Caenorhabditis elegans: one gene and its partner. The protein of the gene in region 2 interacts with the protein of the main gene of each other region in a pairwise test. Each region holds a gene or a part of one and is shown on either strand. Other genes may lie near its edges.

Region 1 (13,113 bases), on a different chromosome or scaffold from region 2:
AGTTTTAATGAGTTTATAGTTTTAATGACAATTAAAAGAAAAAGATAATGATATAAAGTTTGATCTTTCAGTCATTTTTAGTGAACTGACCTCTAAACAAATTTCAGCTGGATTCTCGAATAGTGGTGGGCTAATGCTGCTGCTGATAAGTTGATCATCAAATGTTCTATCTCCAAACATTTCAGCTAACAAGTTATCTCCACTTGCACGTCCTCCAAGAGCTTGACAGAAATGCATGTTTTCAGACATCAATCCGGAAAGAGTCTGAAATGTTTTGAAATAGAGAATGCAACAGTAATGACGACTAACAGTAATTGTTGGCAGAAGAAGCAACAAGTTTCCAAATCGGCTGCTTGCAGAATAGATTGGATGAAGCTCCTTGACAATTTGGAAAAGCATATCTTGAACTTTATCTCTCAACTCAGAAATCGCGTGCCTCGCATGCTCGGATAGTCCTTTTGCATTTGGATTTAAAATAATAATTGCTTTTAATGGAACAATTTCTTCTTCTTTCAGATTTAATTTTCTCAATGGAGCCACCAATTCATTTAACGTTCGATCAATCAGGAAGTTTGAGAGATGACTGAATAAATCAAATTAATTTTCTTTAATTTTAAATAGTATTTTTCATATATTTTTATTGCGTTGATAAAAATTGGAATTAAATTAAAATTCCAACTTACTTTGTCTCATTAAACTCTGGAGGCAATCTTCTTGGAACAAATGAATGACTGCAAAGACACAAAATATCCGGATTCTTCGTATTCTGAGCAGTTCTCGCAGAGAAATTGAAAATAGTTAACGGCGAGTAACAACTTTTAACCAATGCAACTTTATCTTCAGTATCAACTGCATCCGCAATTTCAGTTAATGAATCAACCCAATCAACAGCTGCAATTGCTCTTCTATGAGCAATTACTCCAAGTTCTTCAGTTCTTGCCATTCGAAATGGTTCATAACCAATTTCCATCCGTCGACCATCTAATGCAGGTTTTGATTCAAACATTTCCCGTAATGAAATACTTTTTGGATCTTTTGCAGTGTTTTGTGCACTCATATTATTATCTCCTTTTACTACTTTATCCTCAATACTCATCAATTGCATTAATAAAATTCGAGTCTCGACAGGAAGTTTTCGTGACCAATCATCTCCTTGTAACCGCATCTGAAAATTTCAAGTATTAATTTATACATCATTCATGTATAGTGTAAGTTATTCTGGATTTTATCAACAACACAAACTAAATTTTAACTGTTTGAATATGCATAAACATTTTTCACTCGATTATTCCAGAACAAATAGAAAACATCACAAAAAACACTCAAATCATTTTGAGATTTTCCATAATTTTATGTCAAGTTTTTGTGAATTGTCAAATTTTTGGAAATTTTAAATTTGCCACCAGTTTTTTTTCAGTGTATCTACATTTTCAAAACATACCATATGATTTAAAAGCTCCTCATCAATTTGCTTCTTCTTAATTCTTGGAACTTTCTGTTTTCCTGTCTGATCCCTATCCGGCCTGACTGCTTTTGGATCCATTCCTGCTTGAATACAACGTTGAAATCTGCAGTATCGGCAACTATTTCGCTGGACTGAAAACCGAAACTTCAGGTATTTTCTTGATTATAAAGATACTCAGTCAAGTATATTCGAATTTATTCTTTAAAAAACTTACATTTATCAACAATACAATTATTTGAGAATCTGCATGCATATCGATATTTTCCAGTCAGTGTTCTTCTAAAGAATCCTTTACATCCATAACATGCAAGTACTCCATAATGTAATTTTGCAATTCCGTCACCACAAACAGCACAAACTGAATCTCCATTCTGTGATCCACCACTAGAAACTGTGGGTTGCTTGTCACTGGGCCTGATGATATATGACGTGGCGGGACCACTTGATGACGTGGCACCGCTTGTCCTTAAATCTCCTCGCATCATTGGAACTCTGGAAATTTTAAAGTTAAAAGATCGGGAAAATTAGTTTCAAACACAAAAATAATAAAATTTAAAAACTAGAGTGTGTCCTTGAAATTTTGATTTCTTGATCTTCCCACAATAATTTGTGTCTTGGAAAATACAACGTTTTTTGGTGAAGACGGAATTACATTTTTCAAGTGATTAAACTTTCAAAAGAGTATTATATTTGATACGGTTTTTTCAGTTTCAAAATTGCAAAATTTTGTGTGTGGAAGCGGAATTGAAAGTCGATAGGCACTTTTTTGTTATTGTAAAAATTCATTGCTTAATCGGAGCTAAATGTGCAAAGTTTTCTAGCCAAAAGGCATTTAAGAATCCAATTAAAAAATCATTGGAACAGTGACCAATTCCATTGATGATAAAAAAAATTCATAATTTCAATTTGTTGCAAACTATCAAAGTTCACACATCAAAAAGACCAAAAAGTTCCACGTGGAAAAACTGACGTATTTGGGGGAATACCTATGGGGCGGTGTCTCTCTATGATAATATTACAAAATGGGGGAAATTAAGTGGGAGTGACATTGAAATAAAAGGAGATGAAGGAGGAGAAGACGACGACGATTTACTGATAACAAGGCGAAAGAGACACTGATTTGAAATAAAGAAGAAGAAGAATACAAAACAGAAGACGCTTGAGAGGATGAAGAGAAAATGAAAACATAAAGATTAGATGTCACTAAGGTTTTGAACAAATAGTAAATAATTTGTTTAAAACATTTTAACACCTGTAACTTTATTTTAGAACAGTATTTAAGCTTGTTTTTCACATCAATTACTTGTTTTTTAAATCAATTACACCAGTACAAAATAATTTTTTGTTGATAAACTACTTGTATATTTGAAAAAATGCACTCCCAAAAACATTATTTTCTCAATTAATCTTGCTCAACTTTGGCACCTGATATCTTGGCTATTTTCGATTGAATCAATTTAAAATCAACTGGCAGCAGATGTATTATTAATTTTTCTATAGTTTCAAAGCTTAACTTTTTTTTTGTTGAAACGAACGGAGGTATATACTTTCACAGTAAAATAGTCCGAGTTTTTGAAGTTTCATAAGCGTTTTTGAAGAATTATCATGCCAGATTTCGAACAGTTCCTAGTTAGGAACTATACTGACCAAAAGAGACTGTCGAGAAAATAAGAACCAAAGGAAGAGAGATAGTAATGGAAAAAAGAGAATCGAAGAAAAGAAACGAGAGAAAAATATGAGGTGGTTCGTGTCCGAAATCTCGACCTCCGAACAAGGCAAGTAAACAGGCGCGAACCTTTCCTCAAAGCACGCACACAATGATGATTTCCGCTTCGTTTATCCGCACAGAATTTTTTTTCTTCATTTTACAAGAATTTATTACCTATCAATCTTATAACCCTTGTCCCCCTGTAGGCTTGCCAGACTTGCCAATCACTTTCTAGGTCATTCTACTAGAGGAGGGAAAGGTGATAAAGATACATGAAACACAGACGAGAAACGGATGATGTCAGTAATAAATTAGAGATAGCTTTTAGCATAGGATGCCTATATTCTCCAATCAAACACTTAAATCTTCTTTCTGTTTATCCTTAATTCTAAATTAAAAATCAACGATTCGAATCAGTAAATGTATGATGTCATATTTATATCAAGACGTGCAGACTAATTGGGCTAATTGGATGTATTGCCTTTTTGTAAAGATATATTAGAAGATCAAATGATAGAGCCTCTGACTACAAGGATCCAAAATGTCACCAAAATAAATAAAATCGTAATGCTTTTTGTCTATCGAATTTTTTTACGGGTCTCATAAAATTGGAGGAGGCATTTGGAGATAAGATAACTTGTATCAATTGTTGTTTACAGCTGAATAAGGAAAAGGTTATTGGATAGGATAGGGGAAGTTAACATATACTAGTTTATCTATAAGTAGATGCTGAATTGTGATCTAGAATCAAAGCTGGATTATATTTTAAAATACTTTAATTATCCTGTTTAAGCTTTGCACACGAACAAACTACTAACTAGAGATTTTTTCAAATTCAAATATTTTATACTAAAAGTAAAAACCCGCAAAAATTATTTTTCGAATCGAGTAGAGAATACTTTTAGCTATTAACCTTGTGGAGTGAATACTAAACTGTCTTTCTGAAAACTTCTAAGAATATAATCAAAATTGAATCTCAAAAGAAACTTCTCACTAAATTAAGTGATCTTCTTCAACCGAAGAACACATCTGACTCATATGAACCGATGCAGTTCGTCTCGGTTTCTTGTAGCAAATTCCTTTTATCAATCACAATCATATCTTTCTTCATTCATTCAAATTGATCGATTACCGTCCTTGAACCCTTTTATTTTACTTTTTCTCAATTTCCATGTAAACCATTCCTCAAGTAGCATTCAAATCACAAAGATCATTCACCTATCCCTTTTTATCGCAATTTGATCATTCTTCGCGCGCATCTTGTCACGTGCCTCTTCACTCATTTCCACGCCAAATTTCAAAGTTTCCACGTGGCAGGGTTACTACTAAAGTGGCAAGACAGTAGTATTTACGATCGACGCGCTTTTACAAAGTATGTGTGAGATGGTGGTGATCAGAGGTAGTAGTGCCATTGATAAAATTGCAAATTATTATCACAAAAATGGTTGTTGCGTCGTGGCGGGGCAAGAATAAGATAACAAAGGGGAGACTCTGTCCTATACAAAAGGGAATTAGAATTAAAATGCAAATAGAACACGTACTTGCAGCTTCTTGAAAACTATCTAATGGCTCTAATGAGTTGAGATAATTGCTCAAAAGTTCATTTAAATCATTGTCAATTGATCTGAAAACGTCAGAAGATCAGCGATTGATTGCCAAAATGTCGTAATTTCTTTGAAACTATCAAATGCTTTGATATCAGAATAGATGTAAAAGTTTAAGGCCTGAAGGGATTTTGTATCACATTGACTTTGAATAAATTTAGATTTAGCATTAAATGGGGTTTCAAGTAAATCTTTTCTTTTCAATTTTCAATGTTTTTATCAAAGAGCCACTAGAGCTATATATTTGAGATAAAATTTTTTGGCGGCTTCGGTAAACAAAATTTTTTGAAAATTATTTATCTCACAAGTTCAAAAAATTAAAGAAAAAACTATGAAATGATCTCCAACTGATCAATTGAGCAAATAAATCTTAATAATTTGATATTAATTCTCAAAAAAGTTAGGGTTATGATGCAAGTTCAAATGCACAGAAAAGTTATAATAATCGATTTACTAACCTTTCAACTTTCACAACTCTTGTACCAGGTCTTATTGCATAAGTTGGTTCTTCTTCAAGATATTCATCACCCCAATACTCCCAATCTTCGACATCAAGTTGTTCCATTTTAACAGATGGTGCTGCAAACGGCAGCGTCGATATGGGAAAAATTTTGAATTAATTGAAATTAAAATTCGTGTTCTTCTATTTGTTGTTGCTGGAAAAAAGTATATATAAATGTATACATATTAAAGCAACGGATTTCAGAAAAATAAACGGTGAAAATGAAAGAAAAAGGGACGGTAATTGTGGTCGGAAGGTGGACAGGAGGATAGACGGACGGACAGGATGGATAGACGGTCAGGCGGATTATTAAACGGGTTTAGGTTTCATTTGTATATATAAATATATGAATGTGTTTAGATGAAAATATATATGAAAACGGAAAGAAATTAAACGGTCAATGTATTGAGGTGTCGGGTTATCACATCTTTTAATGAGATTTTGAACGTAATTTCTCTGTAATTAAGAAAATTCAATTTTAAATAAAATTATCTCCAGAAATAGAAAATTACTTATTTGACTAGATTCTACATAGTTTGTTTTAAAACCTTTCTTTAATAATAAAATATTATTTACATCCCGTAATTTATATATGGATTCCTTTTACCTTTCTCTAAGTGAATTAAAGTTAAGAAAAAAAATCGAACGGTCAGTTTAATGTGTACTACCTCTTGTACGTCCAAGTGGATCATTTCAAAAACATTGTTAAGTTCTAATCAAATATTGATAAAGTTAGGTAACGACTCAACCAGTCGCACTTTTCTTATTTTTATTTGATTTATTGGAGAAAGAAACGAGAGTAGGTTTCCATTTATTATCTATTTCTCGTTTTTCTAAATTAATATTTTCATTTTAGAATTTAAGAATTAGCTTCTGATAATAGTTCATGTCCCCCTTACAAATCAGAGTCTAACGTGGCAGCAGCCAAAAATTTGTGATTGATGATAACGAGTGACGGTGGCGGAGAAGGACGCAAAAAAAGTTTGCCAAGCCAATTCAGCAAGCTGGCACACCACCGATTATTGTTCTGATAACTGAAAAAAACCACGTGTGAAGAAGAGGAGCTGCCAAGAGATTAAGGATTGTTTAGTGGACATTTTAAATTTAGAAATCCTTTTTTGAAATTTGGAAAAATATGAATAAATGAAGCTTGAAGATTCAACAAAATTTATGTTATCAATAACCAAACATTGTTATGTTTTCTTCAAATGTTCTAAACTTTTGGTAATTCTCGGAGTTGGACCAATTCAAACAATATACAATTCAAAACTATTTTGGAACCATCCAGAATACTATGGAATTAACATGAAATAGAAACATAAACGTGTAAGTTATGTAAATGAAAATATGGAATAACCGAAACTTGTTAAAAATGCAAAATGACGGAGCGGATTGGTGAAAAGAAATACGGAGAGGATTATGAAAATGTATATGGCTACTAGATTATACAGTACTTTGAACTATTCGTAGATCATTTCAGCTCTATGACGACCACAACGATTGTCCGATTGTTCTTTTCAGATTTTTGAACTTTTAAGCGAAAAAAATTGAATTTTAAAAGTTATAATGTAAAGAATACACATTAATATGAGTCGAACTCTTGGAGATTATAGAAAATATTTAAAATTCTTAATAAAAGTTGAATAGACTTTCTGACTTTACTTGATTTAATCAAACTGTTCTTCGATAATAAATTGGCACAAACTGATAATAACCTGCCAATAAATCATATATTTGTGTTTCGACTTTTACTAAAGATTCTGCAACATTGAGACGTGAGATGGGAAATCCCAAGTTGATGGTTTCAAATAGAAAAGGAAAAGAAAAAAGAAACAAATAAAATATGATGGTTCTGGTGACTGTGTGTGTTCCGCCTGAATAGTAACGTAACAACGACGGGATTTTGGGCGATAGGGGGACACATCAAGGGACACCAACAGTAAAATGCAAATTGGGGGCGGGCGCAATTTGTGTGTGGGGAGAAAAACTATTGAGAAGGAGGAGAAGATGAAATTGGTGAGAAATTGAGGAGGAGGCGGAGACATAATAAGATATGATGAAAATATCTGTTTTTAGAGGTACACGAGGCTTGAAGTTGCAACAAAACCATTTGGTTAAACAACTAAAACAACAAACTACCGATTTGATTAGGACAGTTAAATGTTATGAAAAGGTCATTGAAAAAGGACTATCGGTTGAAATTGTTTTGGATGATACGGTCATGAAATGAGAAACAAGGAGGTCTATTAATAGAATCACACAGTTAAGAACATGGCCTATTTGTGTTGGGATTTTTTTAGAGTTGAAAGCATGAGCACCAGATTTCAATAGGAATATTCATAAGCTACCTAACATGGAAAATTAAAATTTTTAATTTTTTGATTTCTAACGGTATCGAATAATAAGAAATAGACTCCATATCAAAAATTGGATTCAGTTTCTGTACTGAACTTGAATTTTAACATTTCGATCGTTGTTGATAAAGGTCAGTTGCCAATGGAGAAATTGTCAAAACCCCCTTTTTTTGACGAGCTCCAAAAAAGCGGGCAAAACTGTTTAAAACAGAATAACAAATTAAATTTATTTTCAAAGTTTTACTATTTGGTAATTTTGGCACCATAGGTTTAAAAAAAATTCCCCACTGGCTCTAAATACTCCATCTTTAAATATAAATTTTTGAAATGATTAGTTTGATTCAAAACTCTTCTAATATTGTGCCAGCAATTTTCCAACAGTCTATCAATTTCTATCAACACTAATCTGCTAACCTACGTATTGCCAACAATCACTTCCGAATTCCAAATGTTTCTCTATCTCTCTCTCCTCCCGTTCATATGAAAAGTTCAAACCTCAACTACACCAACTAGCTGATATTACTTATTTCTTACAATTTCTTATCATTGTAAGTTTCTCGGAATTCAATTTGCTCCCACAACCATCATATTGTCTTGACATATCGAGACGTAAACTGATAAGAACGACAACTTGGCATGATTTGTGGTTGATCTACTTACTGAAGTGTTGCTTCACAAATTATAAATACTTTCAACAAACGGCTCATTATCAAATTAAGACAATTTTGTACTCTCTCCTACTGCCGACTTTCCTGCGTCATTATCACCGGAATGCTGTACAGAGCAGCAGAAGGTCGAAAGTTACAAGGATGACTTTGAAAATAAGTGAAAGCTTGCAGTTCATTCAGAAAAAGAAGGCGGGAGGGCATGTTACCTTAAGAATCGAAAGTTTAGGAGGTTTAATGTACTAAGACTCTTAGGGCTCCTTACAGGAATTTGGTGATAAAAAATGAAAAGAAAGAACCTTAGAAGATCAAAGGTGGACAAATACAAAATATTGCACCAGTTTGTTCTATGATAGTGAAGAAGTCCTGAAGGATTACCTGGTAACGAAAAAAGACTTTAACATGCAATGTTTCAGCTATTCTTTAATGGCCAGCTTCTTTGTGAGTTTCTCAGTTAACAATTAGGATAAAAACTTTTGGGAATTCCACCTTTTCTGACACTATTTTCGAGAACAACGAGAAATCTGCTTTTGTCAAAAACACGAAAAACGTAAAAAAAAGAAGTGAGTCCTGTCTAGTGTCAGATTAGAATTTAAAACTAATGTCAGTCTCCTAGGAGAAAACTGAAAACTGAGCCAATTTTCCTTATTTAATACTCTTTTGAAATAGTTAACTGCTGACAGATAAGTTCAAAATGTCCTGTTTTGTGTTCATTCCTATTTTGTGACTATCAGTTTAATTCGTCGTATCCTGCTTTTTTATGAAAAAAAGAAAGATGATGACAACCTGACTTTTCCCGGAGATTGTGAAATGACGTCAGACTTTCTGAACTATTGTACATTCCACAGTTTCTTTTTCTTTTTTCTTGATTTAAAGATCGTTTGATAAGTTGCAGCGACTTCTTCATAAATTAAAAATAAAAATTGGGGATTTGTAGGAATAGCTATTTTATTTCCGATCTCGACGATCAACTGATAACGAATTCCGAAAAAAACGAAGACAGAAAAAGAAAAGTTTGATCTCTCTAATCGTTTGATTTCCGCTTTTCATCATAACGTGTTGCACGTTGTTCAACAATTTAACCTAGTAATATTTATCAACTTTATGAGTCTGAAACTGATCAAGTTGATATTTTCATGATACTGATGATACACGGGAATGATGATTGGAAAAGGAAAATGCTAAAGTTTGCACATTGGATCAAGTTTGTAATCGAGAAGGTGGGTCTCTTGATTTTTGAAATTCATTTGTTTAGTTTTAAGAATCATACAAAGAACAATATAATGACGCTTTGGCATACATCAAGGTGTAGTAAAGTTCAATTCGTTCATGGAAAACTGTAGTAGGAAAATAAAATTTTCCAAATTAAAAAAAATAGGATAAAAGGAACTGATAGGTTTCTCATAGCAATTGACTTAAAACTAGAAACTAATAGAAAGTGTGTGAATTGGCAATTGGTTAAAAATCACTTTATCTTTAATTATAAGCTGCTTTAATTATGAGTAAACCAATTAATCAATGAGTATTTTTTATGTATATTAACCCAAAAAACCCAAAAAATTTCAAACCCAAAAAAATTTGAATAATAACTCAAAATTCGAAGACAACAAATAATTTTCAAAAAGAAAATGAACATTGCTGAAGGAAATGAGTCATGTGCAGGGGAACGTAGCAATCGAACAATATTATTAGTTCAATCGAAAGTCAGTTGCCTCTTTTCCTATCACACACAATCAAACGCATCAAGAATACAAAAAAATTCTCTGGAACGCTGTTCCTTACAATATTTTATCTCAATTCTCTAACAGAAAAAACCGAAAAAGTACAAAAAATTCCCACGCGATTTCAAAAACTCTATTGAATCCGTATTCTATTCATCTGCAACTCTTGCCACGTCACCAGATATCTCTCTGAAAATCAAAAAATTAAAAAAGGAAATGTTTCAAAGATTACGCCAAGTGACGAAAAAGGAATAAAAGTTGAAAAAGAATGACGAAAAATCGGGGAAGAGCACTTCCAAAAATCGTAAACTTTAATGATAACGATGAGAATTTGTAAGAGGGTGTGAGAATTAGACGATGCAAATAGTCTGGAGAGAGAATAAAAAATAAAACAAGATTTTGGAAATTCACCGATTGATATGAGTCATAGAAACATGATAATATGTCGAACACGATTGTGATTTTTGCTTTCATACGAAAATTATATGACATCAATAAAAAAAAGTGATATTTAATTTATGAAATTGATAATATTATATTGTAATTTTTCAAATTTTAGTAACATGTACTTAAAAGCGTACCTATTTATTCAAAAGGGTTTCGACACGAACAAATATTGCAGTAACATTACTCTTTCATTTTTTCTTCTTCCAAAAATAAAAATTAAAACATTGGACAATTAGAAGAAGAATTGGTCTTCAGAAATATCAAGAAGGCTACCAAGAACGTTTTTCCGCACCGAGTCACCCATCAAAATAAATGCACTTGTATTATTGTAGGTTCAGTTAAAAGTTTCATCAAACTGCAAATTTACGATAATTTTTCTCTGATTCCCAGAATCAAAATTTTCAATTTTTCCTAAGGGAAAACTGCAATTTGGTTTCAGGGCAAATTAAAAAAATAAAAGTAATAGTTTTAAATTTAAAAGGTTTTCGATGGATCTCTTTAATCAATCGCAAATCAAAATGAGAACACAACAGAAAATTGAGCATCTCAATTTTTTCATCATCTATCCGAACCGGTGTCTCTTTGTGTTTGGGAGTATTGAGTGCTCAGGAATTGCAAGAGGTTTGAGAGAAATGAGCAAAAAGAGATAAACAAATAAATGAAAAGGTCGCGGAAAATGAGAAGAAGCGGACACTCTCCGGACACAGTCATCCAAAGGGAACGGAAAAGTTAAAATGGGCGGTGCCAGGAAGAATGTTAGATATTGTTGGAATTGAAGAAACTGGGGATGAAAAAGGAAAAATGGTTTGTGTGGAAGGTTGGGGCACACGGTCAGTTGAATCAAAACAATGTGAGTCACGGGCGCCTATCGAACAGATGATGAGCAAGAAAAAAAGTTTGTTATGAAATTTGTTTGTTTTCTGGATACACAAGCTTTTGGTTTCAACTGAGCACGCGAAAAACTCAGCAATGTCCAGAAGTTTTGGGATAAAAACAAGCATGTAGTATAAGGAAGAAATTGGTTGAGGCTTCACGGGCCCTGAGAAATTTCTAGCACTGCACCCCCACAGTGTTTAGTTGAAACAAGGGAGAATACATCAAATTATGGATTATATTTACCAACTTCCAAAGTTAAGATAGTGGGAACCAAATTCTCCTCACTTTTTGAGTGTAAATAATTTTTTGAAAAATTTTACTATAATGCCATAATGCCTTGTTTAAAACTAATTTTCAAAGACTGAAGATGCCAAAAAATCAGCTAAAACTGATTTTTCAATAATAATAGAACATTCAAGCATATTTTAATTACATTTTTTAAAACATGACAATAATGAATCATTGAAATAAAATGTTTATTTGTGGGCGTAATCGCCTAGATCGTTAAAATGACAATTCTGTGATACTTTGATATTCTTGATATTGTTATCTATTCAAGTAATAGATTTCAAATGTTTAGAAACACCAATGTAAGACCTTTCTGTTGATTAAATACCTAAACACAGTCCTACAGAAAACACATTAACATCCGCCCACAACTCGTAAAGAATCTCAGTAATTTAAGATCATTTTGAGTCTATTTTGTGCAAAACACAACAAAAAACATCCAAATGAAATCATTCAGTGACCATGAACAAATAGTTCAAAAAGTTTTTGCTGAATCATTCAGAATCTAAACAAATATTTAACTTTTGTATTTTTTAATTTTTGCAATGATCACTTGATAGCTACCCTTGTGATAGAGTATCAATGAAAGATCATGCTTCTTCAGCTGAAAAGTAGACAAGTTTGTTAATAAGCTCAGTTTTATAGTTGGCAAATAGTGTATGACAGAAGCAAAGAAAACTGTCTGAATGACGATTGTAGAAAATTTCTGAACAATACGGTTTCAACTTTTAAAGATCTTTTTATAGACTAACGTGTTAATCAAATAAAATTAAAAGACCTGTATGTAGATTGAAATTGATTTCAAATTGGAAATCAAATCAACATAACATCAAAAAACGAATAAGGAAAATTCAAAGATTCTTGTCCAAAGATGATATTTCCTATTTTCTCAGTTCTTCTGAGACACAAATGGATAGGTTGACAATGCATCAAATACAGAGACAGTTCTCTTTTTCTCTCTCTTTTCTCGATTGGTTAAGATCAAATCGAAAGATAAATACAGATCACATGGTCTGCCATGTTTCAACTTTGCAAGATGAAACAAACTACTACTATGACTACTAAAATGAACAACGGAAATGATGATGAGAGGGTAATGCAAATATTCTTCTTTGCAGGTGATGATAACAAAACTTGAAGTGTGAAAACCTATTAAGTTGAGTGTAGGTGTTTTATTAGACTATGGTTTTGAATTGGAAAACGTCTGGAAAATTTCAGAACGTTAAGATTTAAAATTAAAAAATTAGGGAAACTAATTTAAAATTAATATATATTTTTGAAATTACTGTTGCATATTGAGTTTCTGGAGAAGAGCAGTGTGGCACATTTTTTTAGTAATTGTACAAAACTGTCTATTTTAATATGATAATCCAGATTTTATGATTTTGAAATAGTGGAAAAAAATTCACACCATCTGAAAATAATATTTTCTTTTGTTGAAAACTTTGAAAAAGACCTCAAACAGTGTCCACAGTTGCCATTT
Region 2 (13,113 bases):
ATTATCTGAGATATAAGAACACTCACGGAAAGCAACAGTCGTTCGGCACACCGTTGTACAATGATAATGAAGAGGAACAAACTCGACATCAGCCGCAACAGCAGAGATCTTCAACACCACTTGCACCGACAACTCCAACTCCGCCACCACCAACACAAGCTCCTACAAATCACCGAGAACTGCTGTTAGACTTTCCACTTCCAGTAGATTTCAGTCGGCCACCGCCAGTTATTCCGCCGGAATACTTCTTCAATGCTCCGTCTGTATCCCAACAACATCATCAAAGGTCCCAGTATCAACATTATGCTCCACAACCACAAGGAAATCGTACTCCTGGCTATGTTGCACGTCCCATCACTCCTCACGGCAACCCGAAGCCACAGAACTACCAAATTGGAGGAGGATGGAATCCTTATGCAAATCCACCATCAGCAAAGGATGCACCCGCTACTGTCAGAGATAATAGGTCTCCGTCGAGACCTCGAGGCGATTTTCGTAGAGACCGCTCCCAGTCCAGAGGTGCTGAAACTCATTGTCAACAAAGCTATCAACCACCAGCGGATCCACTTCAAGATCGTTCAAGAAATGGCCGATCGCCACCAATGGGAACTCATTCGCATTACGGACAAAATGCAAAACCTGCTCAAAATGGAAATACTTCCCACTACGAGCTTCGCTCCCGGTCCAGAGGTCGTGCAACTGTACCAATGAATGCTAATTTCCGTGCAGGGCATCAAACAGGATCTTCATCTCGCCTGGAGTCTCGATCCAGAGCTACAGCGTCAGTCGGTGCTCGCGCTCCATCAAGGGCTCCAGCCCCGTCTTCAACCTCCAGAGAAACTAGGTCGACGCGTCGTTCTCCGTCAAAGGGTCCAAGCGCACCGGCATACACTCTTCCTTTCGGTGGTTCAACTCCCAATCACGAGCCGATGGATTTGGAGTTGGAAGATCCAGTTCCACCACCACGCCCGGATCGACCTCGTGCATCGACATCATTGAATACGTCGGTCTCTCAAATTAAACGCAATGAAGTGCAAACCGGGTAGGTGATTTTCGTGTCGGGATCCAAAAAACCTGCATTTTTTTCAGAGTCTATAATATCCGTCCCCAACGAGTCCAGGATACAGTCCAAAAGGCTAGAACTGCTGTTGGCTATGCGGGCACTCGTAATAGGAGTCCTCTGCGAGAAGCCGATGCTGAAGAGATTGCAGGTAAGATTTTGAAAATAGAGAACCTCGAAATATGCTAAATATTGAATCGAATTTTTAGTTTTTCTTATTAGTTTCTTATGGGGTTATTCAAGTAATGTAGCAAAATGTATTTCAATACATTTGTGACGTCACAAATGTATTTGAATACATGTTTTTATATACTTGAATACAGTTGTGACGTAATTGTTCTACACTTTTTAATTTTCCGATATTACTTGGATAGCCCCATTACATTTTAAAATCTTTTGCAACATTTCTTTAATAAATCGATAATTTTCAGCGACGGAAGCGCTAAAAAACCGATTCGCAGTGAAAAGCAGAGGAACCGCAAAAGCCAAAGCAAATTCAAACCGCGGAGCTGCACTTCTTGAGTCAATCGAGCCAACCAATCGAAAAATCGAAACAGCGGAGGAGCGGGAAAAGAAGCAGAACGATTTATATTTGGAAAAAATGAGAAAGATTAGAGAAAAGCAACGTCTGGAACAAGAAAAGATAGACGATGTGGTTGTCGATTCAGGGAATCTTCCTACGATTGCTCCAAATGCTGCCGGAACTCCACCACCGCAGTCGGTCGCCGCCATGCTGGAGCCGAAGGAAGAGTCTGAAGAAGACGAACCGTCGACCTCCGCAAGTGTTCCTTTTCAAAGAAGGGTACGGGTCGTTTTTATAGTTTCGTGATGTTCAGATTTCGGCTAGGGAGCAAAATTTTTAGATTTTTTTGAAAAAGGTAGTATTTGATATAGATCGGTCTGCTGAAAACTTTGAGCTCTAACTATCTGAAGAACTTATTGTAAACCCTTTTTTAAAATCATTCCCAAACAATTATTTTTCCAGATGAACTCTCCTCAAACTCATGCGACAAGCTACGCGAGGCGCAGTGATGGAAAGCGTCACCCATCGAAATCGCGAAGCTCCAGGGATGACCGAGCCAATAGGCGTGACCGAGATCGGGATTCTGACGGACGCTGTGGAGATGACCGCCGACGGGACCACCGCAGCCATCCGTATGAGCGACATTAATCGAGGTTCTCATGTACCATCATTATTGACTCGATTTTTTAAAAGAAAGGAACAACATTTCATTTTTCCTTCAAAGTATTTATTTTTTTCTAAATTTTATCCCCCTTTCAGGAGAAAATAGATCTCCAACCCCCTCCCCCGTATTTATAACATAATAGTATTTTCCCCATAATGTGCGATTTTTAACGGATCTCTCTTTCTGTCCACATTAATTTTTTTCTAAATTTTATTCCCCTTTCAAGTGAAAATAGATCTCCGACCCCCTCCCACTTATTTATAATATAGTAATAGTATTTTCCCCATAATGTGCCATTTCTGTCCACATTAATTTTTTTGTGTGCCTTTTTCTTGTCATCCGCTTTTTTTTGTTTTTATAAAAGTAATTACCAGTTTAACAAGCTTTTCCTCCGACACTTTCAGATGTACGTGGTAAGAGTCGATCTATGCTGTCTATAGGCTGTTTTGGCTTAAAAACCATTCCAAAGATGTGAGTGCGGATGAATCTGCGAAAAATTTAATTTCATCTGAAAAATCAGAAATTTGCGACGCCACCTAGTGGCCGCGAACAATAATCGGTAGGTCGCGTTGCAGACAAGGAGGTAGGCGTGGGTCGCCTTGTAAGCCAGGAGGTAGGCGTAGGTCGCCTTGTAGGCAAGGAGGAAGACGTAGGTCACCTTGAAAACTGCAAAAAGTAGGCCGCCTTGTAGGTAAGGAGGTAGGTGTAGGCCGCCTTGTAGGCAGAGAGATAGGCGTAGGTCGCCTTGTAGGCAAGGAGTTAGGCGTAGGTCACCTTGTAGGCAAGGAGGTAGGAGTAGGTCGAGTTGTAGGCAAGGAGGTAGGCGTAGGTCGCCTTGTAGGCAAGGAGGAAGGCGTAGGTCACCTTGTAGGCAGAGAGGTAGGCGCACGGCCCGGCAAGTGGTACATCCATGCAAATGCGCTCTACTGATAATTTGAGTGTAGACCAGGTTTGGGCGCGTGATAACGAAAAAAGCTTTGGTCCAAAAAAATTTAGAATTTAATTTCGGACATTTTTTATATGCATCACAAAAAAACTGGACCAACCGTTTTTGAGATACACGCGCCCAAACGTCCAGGTATACGGTAGACAAATTGCGTACAGGTACCACTGCTCGGGCCGTGAGGCGTAGGTAGCCTTGTAGGCAAGGAGGTAGGCGTAGGTCACCTTGTAGGCCAGGAGGTAGGCGTAGGTCGCCTTGTAGGCAAGGAGGTAGGAGTAGGTCGACTTGTAGGTAAGGAGGTAGGCGTTGGTCGCCTTGTATTCAAGGAGGCAAGCGGAAAGGCTAAGATTGAGCTTAAACATATGCCTAGGCATTTCCAGGCGTCAGTGCCTACAATTTGAGATCTATCAATACGGCGGAATTGATTTCCAAGAGGACATTTTGTGATTGGCCTTCCCTCTTAAAAAGCTTCTGCATCTGTAAATAAGCTTCTCCTCCATCCACCATAAAGTGCAAATCGGGAAGTGTCAACAATTAGCAAAGGAAGACAGTTACCCAACGGAAGGACCCAAACGAAAATAACGATGCATTGAAGTGAGAAGAAGTAATAAAGGATGATCGGCTGGGGTCGTCAGGTTCTTAATAACAGACACAAAAGAAACACACACACAACCGCATACTTACTGTAGAAAAGACGAAGAGGAGGCGGTGACGATTGAAAAAAGAGAGAGAGAGAGACCTTGGATTCACACAAGAATCAGTTCATTTGTAAAGTTTCGATCAAGTTTATTTAAAGCTTCATCTTACTGCCTGGAAAATTGTTCATCAACGTGAATTTTTTAAAACTTTTCTGAGCATTCTCATTTTGTTCCAGGATTTTTGGGCTTGTAAAGCAACTCGGTAAAACCTATTTTAGTTCCTGCTGATTTCAATCAAGTTGTATATAGGCCCTGGCGCCAACTGAAACATTTTGAAAAACGGTATGTAGCTTTAAATAAGGACACGGAATTCTTTTTAAATTGACTTGCAATCCCTTCCTCAACTTCAAAAACTCATATCTCGGTAGTTTTTGACTTTATCCAAAAATAGTCAACTGACAAAATACGTGAAAAAAGTTAGTGCAAGTTAAAAAAATAATAGGAATATTCATTGAAGATGGACAACTAAAATCTGAGAATTTGCTTTTTAGACTCCAAATAGCCCAAAACTGCTGAACTTTGAATGAGACAATTTGAAAATTTCTCAAAAAAGTTAAGGCGGTTCAAAACTTTGTAAAAAATGGCCTGTGTACACATTAATTGGGAATTATTGTTAACAGCTGATTTTTGTATGATTTTTGCCAAATGAATAAATAAAAATCAATAAATAATCTGAACAATCAGTAAGACACCAATTCCTACTAGTTTTGGGTTCCGATGCACCATGTTTCTTCTTCAGTTCTCTCAGTTTCGCAACCCATTTTGCTCTACTTTGATATCATATATCTTGGGTTTTTATAGTTTTATTAAAAACAAGATCAACTGTTTACATTTTTATTGTTCAACAATTTTTTATTTACTCAAAAATAGCGGAGATATAAGCGGCCAAAGTAGAGCAAACGAGAGGGGGGCAAGGCTACAGTACTCCAATTATTTGTGTCATTTCTCCGGTCTCGCAATCATCTTGGTCCGTTCCAATAAAAAAAGAAGCTTCCTCCGATATTTCTAATTCATCTTTCTCGTTATTCTCAAGTTAAATTGACTTCACCAGGAGGTCGTGTTCATCGTCACCTTCTAGCAAATCGTCATGTCATTTCAAATGTCTCTCCGCTCATTTTGTCCCGGTAGAAAAAAGTTGAAGCATCAGGCGGCGTTTCTAATGTGGTGGTCGTATGTCGAATATATATCCGTATAATTAGTGTATGTTGTCTGAAGGTGTGAGGTCCCCAAGGCGGAAAGAAGGCGCGCGCGCGCGAGTTTTGTCCGCAATTTGCCGGAAAATATGGCGCGGATTTTGATGATGGAGGAGATGGAGGGGAGGAGGACAGGAAAGGCGCAAGTTTGCGGTGCGCGATTTACCGTAACGAAACGACGATTGAAAAAAGGAGAAGAAGAAGGGCGGTTACGTATTTCCACCGTAACATGACCGTATCATTGTTTGATGTTTCCATACTTGTTCTTCTCCGTTTTGTATCTTTCGTGGTGGGACCAAAAGGTCACTGTACTCTTTTTCTGAAATTTTGGATCACTATGTCTTTTGGATTTTTTTTGGTAATTTTAAGGAAAGGTCCCGCCACGAAAGGGCATACTTTTTATATACATATTTTGAGTGAGACGGACTCCAAAATATTTGAATTTGAGTTTTTCAAATGGAACAATCTTCCAGCTAACTCGGAATGTATTAGAAAAGCGGCATGTAGGCATGAAGCCGATCTTGTAAAATTGGAGAGATTTTTTTAAAATAGACATTTCCTTTTACTTTTATTTTTTAACTATAGTTCGGTGGCGTTCCAAATTGGGCGAATGACGGCGAGATGAACGACTAGAGTTGTGCCCAAAGAATACGTAATGTGCACATTGTCTAAAAAGTACTTACTCGTTCAAAACTACATTTCTCCGTATTTGGAGGTGTGCTGTATCACCCTGAAAACTCATTCCATCCCGACCTTGCCAATTCCTCTCGCCAAACTGGCTGATCAACCAGTGATTCAAAAACGTGTCCCTCCGTCTTCTCATCTCTTCCTTACCGTCACGCTTCATAAATGCACCGTGCGCGCGCGCGCCGTCATCGTTGTCTTCAGAAGATCCCACAGTTTCAACACCTCTTTTGTGATGATATAGACGCAGACAGCGTGACGCCCTGATACGGTAGAATGCAAAAAAAAGAAGAGGAAAAAGGTAATCGTTCCGTCTCCTCTCTCAAAATCAAATATACAAACACAAGGGGAGGTCCTATACCGCTGATATTGCGGACCGACTGAAGCGACGCGGGTTTATGTGATACCGTACCCCTTCCTCACCGGTATACAACTGGTTGCATCTTCATTGTTGTGTTTTATTTTGTTTTGGAGAATTGAACAATTTCAGTTATTTCTACGAACTACGAAAATGAGATGAGTCTTATCGCAAAAAAATAAGTAAATTTATTTTCGCGACGAGACCCAAATTTGGGGTTTGTTGCGGGACCTCAATGCGATTTTTCATTAAATTGATATCTGTGTTCTTATCAATGAAAAAAGTTCTTGCGTTCTCAGCCGCCACTATTATCTCACCCTTATCACTTTTTTCCTGATAGATATCAAAAACGACTTTTATGACACTTTTCTCCCGTTACTTGTTAATTAATTTGATATATCGCTGGTATTTGAATTCAGTTTTTTGAACTTTATATTAAATTTGGAAATTTTTAATTGCCGGTAAAAGAGAGTACGGTAGTTGGAAAGTTTTTTTTTCGCTCGTGCCAGGACCCATGGCCGTAATTTTAGGAGAAAAATCACAAAAAGATTGAGAAAACTAGGCCACTCATTAAAAATAAGAATTTTAAGATTTACTGTAACTTAATTTAGTTTTTCTCGCAAAAATATGATAGCCACATTTTTGAGTTCATCGAAAGTTTCAGAGTATCATCTAAATTCCAAGAAAAAACCACTTCGGCACAGTAATACCTGCCTGCATCTAAGACAACCTTCGCCTGCCTTGTGCCTGAATACGTGCCTATTGCCTACCTTGCCTGCTCAGATACATAATGCCAAAGTTCATTCCAACAAGAAGAAGGCGCTAGGCGGCGGCTTGTAGGCATGTAGGCATGTAGACAGGAAAACGCGCCTTTGGAACTTGTTTTCTTTTTTTTTCAGTTTTTTTTTTTGAAAGTTCGTTCTCAAAAAAAAAGCAGAAAAAGAAGAAAACTTCGAAACCCCTTCCCTGAACGATTACGCAATAATCCCCCTCTCTTCCTTTTTCAAAACGGTCTTCATGTCTGCCTACCGTAATCCTCTTGTAGTCACGGCCAACCTGCCTTCTAATCGCCACAAGCTCATCCGTTGCTAAACGTTCCCCCATCTTGGCATTGGGCAACTGTTTCTTCTTCTGGTGCCATACACAATTGTTTTGTTGTTCCTCTCTTTCCAATTGATGCTTCTTCTTCTTCTCTCTAGAAACCGCTTCTCAAGTGCGCCAAGTGCTCATCCGTTTCACCAACACACAAAAGGGAAGAAGGGGGAACTGTAACCGTCTACTAGTTGCCTAATATACTTGTGTCATATATCCTTACAATTATATTAATATATCTACATGTAAGAAGAAGTTTCATGTCCCTTCTTGCATCATTTTTATATTTTCTGGCAATTTGCAGAAATTATTTTGGGGGATTTTTAAAAATTTTCAACAAAAATAAAAATAGTTTTTCAAGTGAACCAAATATTTATCTATGTTTCTAGCTCAAATTTTGAAACAATTCGATTAGGTAATTTTTCTCTCAGATATTTCAGTTTTCCAGCCAAAAACTGAAGATTTTTCTGTCTTACTGAAATTTCCTGTTATAAATGCAACTTTTTCAAAACTATATGCACAAAAAACACAAAAAAATATTTAAAAAAATACAAAATATTTTTTTCGGATTTTTTTTATTGTTGAACTAAAAATGGTTTTGGGAGAGTTTCGTGAAAATTACCCAACTTTTTTTTGTGGTTTAGGTCTAGGCTTAGACTTAAGCTTAGGCTTAAGATTAGGCTCAAGCTAGGGCTTAGGCTCAGGCTTTGCTTTAGGCTCAGTCTTCCAGCGTAGGCTTCAGCTTAGGCATAAGCTTTGGCTTAAGCCTAGGCTTCGGCTTGTGGGAACGCTCAATAGTTTTGTGTACCTCTCCCCTAAACCATCCCAGAAAAATCCTAAATTTCACTTTCGGTTTCATGATTATCCTCTCCCTACCGTGATTTTGTGCTCTCGGAGCCAACACCTCCATATTCCAATTATTCCCGACATCCGAGACATTGTACCTATTATTATCTGGCGCCGAGTATTTGAAATAATTGCCGGATTGGATTTCTTCGGTGATAACACACCCCGCCCCGACTCGGACGCTTCCGCTTGTTGTTCCTTGTTTGGAAAAAATTCCACAAAATCATCACAAAAATTTTCAGCTCTGCTCAATTTCAGATGGATTCACGGGTATGGCTGCCGCTGATTGGAGCGCATTTGCTGCCTCGAGACATTAGTGTTATTACTCAGGTATTTGAGTCTTGATTTCAAAAAAAAAACTTGAAAGTGTGAATTCAGATGATTGCAAATAATAATAATACATCAATTTCGAGAAGTAGCACCAATAGCAGCAAACCCGAAGAGAAGAATTCGAAAAAGGTAGGAATGGAAAGTTGGTGGCCTAGAAAATTAGAAATCTCGGCCATCTTGAAATTTTTATCTAATATTTTTTGTTCTGAAACCGCCTGAAATTATCTTTTTCGTTTTGAACCGCGTAGCCTAGATAGACACATTGGCAGGCACAATACTTATCTACGATGAAAGGAACATTTTCAGTTTCTCATTGAACGATTTCTCGATGATGATCCTTCACCACCAGCATCGATTCTTTCGCCATCACCCAAGGCAGCCATACCCAGTGTAAGACGCTAATCAAGGAAAATTCTAAATTTTTTTTTTCTGATTTTCAGCCAATTATAAATCCAGCAGTGGAGTTTGTAAACGGAGGCTACGGAGTCAAAAACCCCCTGGCTCCGTTGATCAGCTCCTTCGAAACCACCTCAATTCCGTGTTCAACAGTATCTCCTTCATCCCTCATCTCCTCCAGCAAAGACGAGTTCCAAGATTCATTAACCTGTCACATTTGCGGCAAAAAGTTCGGTTTACAACGTCTTCTGAACCGTCACATAAAGTGTCATAGTGACCTGAAACGGTATCTATGCACATTTTGTGGAAAGGGTTTCAACGATACATTCGACTTAAAAAGGCATACCAGAACACATACAGGTACCTCTCAACACTTTAAAGTACTCCTCTACCTCTGCCACCAATTCATAACCACTAATTTGTCGTTCTTCTTACCCTCCGTTGACTTACGGTTGGAAGACAATTGTCTGCGTCTGTTTGTCTAGCACACTGCTTTTTTGTGGGGTGTCATTGAATCCATTGTAGCGAAGCGTAATATTCCACACATTTTCACCGCAAATTGTCGACGATTCTAACTTGATTTACGGTGGAAAATCAAGGGGACCACATTAAAATTGAAACCGACAACACGTTCTGCTCATTTTAATGTATTTCTAAAAAGTTATTTGAATAGAAAATTGTTTAATAATAAATTCAAAAATAAGCAGACAAAGGCAGGCGTGCCTATCTACCTATGACCTTCTGTATTCCAGGCGTCCGTCCCTACAAATGTGAGCAATGCGAGAAGTCGTTCACTCAACGATGCTCCTTGGAATCCCATTTACGGAAAGTTCACGGTGTCACTCATCAATATGCCTACAAAGAGCGTCGTAGTAAGGTGAGTTGACAGAAAGGTATGCATGTCTGCCTACGCCTGCGTGCCTACTCTCAAAGTAGACTCAAACAATAGACAAAATAGAAATAGAAAATAGGCATGTAGGCATGTAGACATGTAGGCATGTAGACATGTAGGCATGTAGGCATGAAGGTACGTAGGCATGTAGGCATGTAGGCATGTAGGCATGTAGGCATGTAGGCATGTAGGCATGTAGGCATGTAGGCATGTAGGCATGTAGGCATGTAGGCATGTAGGCATGTAGGCATCTAGGCATCTAGGCATCTAGGCACACACCGACCGACAATAACTTCTACATTTCCAGGTATTCGTCTGTGAAGATTGTGGTTATACGGACGAAAAGTTCGAAGTCTATCTATCTCACATCAAGGTAGTACACCCCTTCTCGGCCGCCTACCTTCGGTTTACACAGCTTCAGAAAAAGAACTCATCGATGAAACCCGAACAACTTTCCAAGATCTCCCTATAATACTCACCTTTTTTCCTATTTAATTTTTAATTTTTTTTAGAAATTAGCTATTTTCCAAAAATCCTCCAAATCATCGTCATTTCCCCATTTGTTGGTGATCCTTTTTGCACCCCCGTGACTGATTTATTAACCCCAATGACACTATTTTCTCTCCGTCCAAGACCCTTTTCACCCATTTCTGTCTTCTAGATGATTCCATGATGTATTTAACTTATACCAATGACAACAAATTTTCCCAAAAAATGACACATTTTATTGAAATAAAAAAGTTTCTCCTTTTTTTATTCTTAAAAAATGTGTTGAAATCAATGACTTCCATTGTGACGTGGAATTTCTACGACGTATTTTGAGAGCCACTCGGCAATAAATCCAATAGGGTCGGCAGGACGGCGAAGTAGAACCTGAAAAAAAATAAATGCTTAAAATTGCAGCGGACATTTAACGGGTTCAGCATAATCTCTGAAGCGTGCGCGCGAAGTGTCGGCCGCTTTACTAAAGCCTTATGATGTCGGCTGCCAAACACGTTTTCTAGTTGGCACTTAAAATTTGTCAGTTTCTCGAGTAGTCGACATCTCATGGTTTTGTTATAACCCTAATCCTTATTTCCCGCTAGTGAGGTGCCGGCAGTTATACTAAGATGTTTTGAAATTTTGCTGTCAATAAAAAAGAAAGCGGCCGACATCTCCCTGCTTCAAATCCTAGCCCTAACCCATGAAGAGTCGGCTGCTGTACATGAGTGCTGACTTAAAATTTACTGGCGGCCATAAAAATAGAAGCGCCCGACGTCGGCCGGTTATGCTGAACACCTAATGGCTGATCCGTGAGGAGTCGGCTGCTTTGAAAAGTGTCATTCGTACTGGCAAAGAACGTGAAAGCGGCCGACATATCCCGGGTCACCTCTAAATCGTCGGCTGCTATGGCCGACACAACTACGAAACACGGGTCCAGCCCGCGAAACGTCAGCCGCTACTAATTTTACAATACCTACCTCTGCCAGCGCTTTAGTCAAAACAGGCGCCACCGTCCTTGCGAGATATACTCCATTCTCCGACGTTGGCAAATCAATCTTCCCTCTGAACGCCTTCTCAAACCGATGCCTTTCAATACTTTCATCCTCATCATCCAACATACGTGCACTATCAATGAATGACCCTTCACTTCCTGAATCAGGTGTAGCTGGAGAATCAATCAATGGCCCATCCTCTAAATACTCCTCATTTATAGTCTCAAAATCTTCATCCCGATCCTTGATAAGTTTCAAATCAATAACTGCATTCCTTCGGTAATAATCAGGTGTTCTTCCTTCGTTATCAACAGCCATCGGATCGGCTCCAGCTTTTCCAAGAATTTTCAGGTAATGACCTCCATCTCTTGCCGCGGCAGCGTAATGCATTGCAGTTCGCTTATTCTGGAAAAGGATCCAAATTAACTTATTTAGGTCTTTAAAAATCTAAAATCCTTACATAATCAGGAGCATTTAAAACAGAGTTATAGTGTCCTGCAATATACCGGACAATTTCAGTGTGCTCATGAACAACTGCAGAATGCAAAGGTGTACATCCAAATCGATCTCTTGCAATTGCTAATTTTTTCGTCTTCATTAGTTCTTTAACTTTGTCCAAGTTGCCTTCTTTTATTGATTTATGGATTCCATCGATTTTGTCCTGGAATTTGAATTTCTTTTTTTTATTTAATAAATTTAATCGGGCATTTTAGATTTCTTGAATTTTCCAAAAAATCAATTTAATTTTTTTCAATTTTTTCGGAAACTCTAATATAAAAAAGTTATAATTTTTTAACTTTCGAAAAGTTAAATTTTTTTGAAAAATAAATTTGATTACTGTTCCGATTTTTTGATTACTGTTCCGATTCATAATCATAAATAAATTGTATTTTTTATGTTTGAAAAAAACAACAATTTTTCGGTTTTTTTATTGAAAAAGTAGGCAGGCGTAAGCCGCCTTTCAAGGCAAACCGGCAGACATTTTTGCACCTCAACCCACCATATAATCCGGTAATCTATCCAAAAATGCCTGAGTTTCCGTATGAGTCGATGTCCGACTTTGCAGCAAGTCTCCACATCCCGACAACACCAATTGCTCCAATTTCGCCAGCTGTCCATCACGGAGCCATTGTTGAATTGAGGATTCTAGATAGCTTGGAGCAACTCTATTATGTAAGACTTGTTTTAAAGCTGCTCGAGTGTCGAGTCGCATTGCTGATAGATCGATTTCTCCGGTATGTTTTAAGTAGTATTTTGCAGGGCGACCATTCTGAAAATTATTATTTATAATATTTTTCATTTTTTTGAAATATTTTTGCGCTCATGGTGCATCGGAGAAATCAACTTACACAATCATAAATATTCGGATCAGCTCCAGATTTCCTCATAACCTTATACAAGTATCCTCCGTCTTTCAATGCGGCTGCGTAGTGAAGTGGAGTCCTTTTCTTCTGCAAATTTATTTACTTTTTAAAATTTAAACCCCAGAAGCCAACCTGATCCATAGCGTTCACAGACTGCGGATAATTTCGAATAAGGTATTTTGCAATATCAGTTCGTTCAAAAACAATTGCCTTGTGAAGTGGAGAAAGGCCTCGGGTATCTCTACAAAGTGATAGCTTCTTACGATCAGTCAACAACTTGACGGCTCGAAGATTTCCTGTTTCGACTGCTTTGTGGATTGATTGGATCTTTGCCTGGAAATAAGATATATAAACTTGTTATTAGTTGAGTAGTATTATAGTTCCATACGGTATCTATAAATAAATATGGTAAACTTTAAAAGTTGCGCGTCAAATTTGATGTATTGAGATGACACTGTGTAAGTTTTAAATAATTGTGACGTCATACGCTTTGTTTACGGCTATAAGTCATCTGGCCTAAATAAGTTATGCACGGTGGCCTAGTAAACGCAGTTGCAGATTGAACAAGCAGCTTCTCAAATTATTCCAGACAATT

Evidence for each region.
Region 1: the proteins of lin-48 (region 2) and nhr-31 interact in a two-hybrid assay, tested with the Caenorhabditis elegans proteins (one large-scale study listed by BioGRID).

Annotation. Positions count from the first base shown.
Region 1 is NC_003282.8:8,024,081-8,037,193, forward strand, and holds the start of nhr-31 (Nuclear hormone receptor family member nhr-31), read right to left. Parts: upstream 5,434-13,113; 5' UTR 5,343-5,433; coding exon 5,236-5,342; intron 4,578-5,235; exon of another isoform or gene 4,431-4,577; intron 1,958-4,430; coding exon 1,680-1,957; intron 1,597-1,679; coding exon 1,442-1,596; intron 1,166-1,441; coding exon 684-1,165; intron 584-683; coding exon 310-583; intron 265-309; coding exon 91-264; intron 1-90. UniProt on the Caenorhabditis elegans protein: Orphan nuclear receptor.
Region 2 is NC_003281.10:3,737,142-3,750,254, forward strand, and holds lin-48 (Transcription factor ovo-like homolog lin-48), read left to right. Parts: upstream 1-8,296; 5' UTR 8,297-8,319; coding exon 8,320-8,391; intron 8,392-8,439; coding exon 8,440-8,520; intron 8,521-8,697; coding exon 8,698-8,781; intron 8,782-8,831; coding exon 8,832-9,147; intron 9,148-9,539; coding exon 9,540-9,664; intron 9,665-9,986; coding exon 9,987-10,151; 3' UTR 10,152-10,431; downstream 10,432-13,113. Other genes in the region: F34D10.4 (C2H2-type domain-containing protein), read left to right, coding at 1-1,042, 1,090-1,211, 1,492-1,862, 2,046-2,231; arcp-1 (ANK_REP_REGION domain-containing protein), read right to left, coding at 10,457-10,552, 11,140-11,559, 11,615-11,815, 12,155-12,424, 12,504-12,605, 12,651-12,851. UniProt on the Caenorhabditis elegans protein: Transcription factor. Involved in development of the hindgut, the male tail, and the excretory duct cell. Involved in modulating function of excretory duct cells. Plays a role in left/right patterning of cell fates in the hindgut.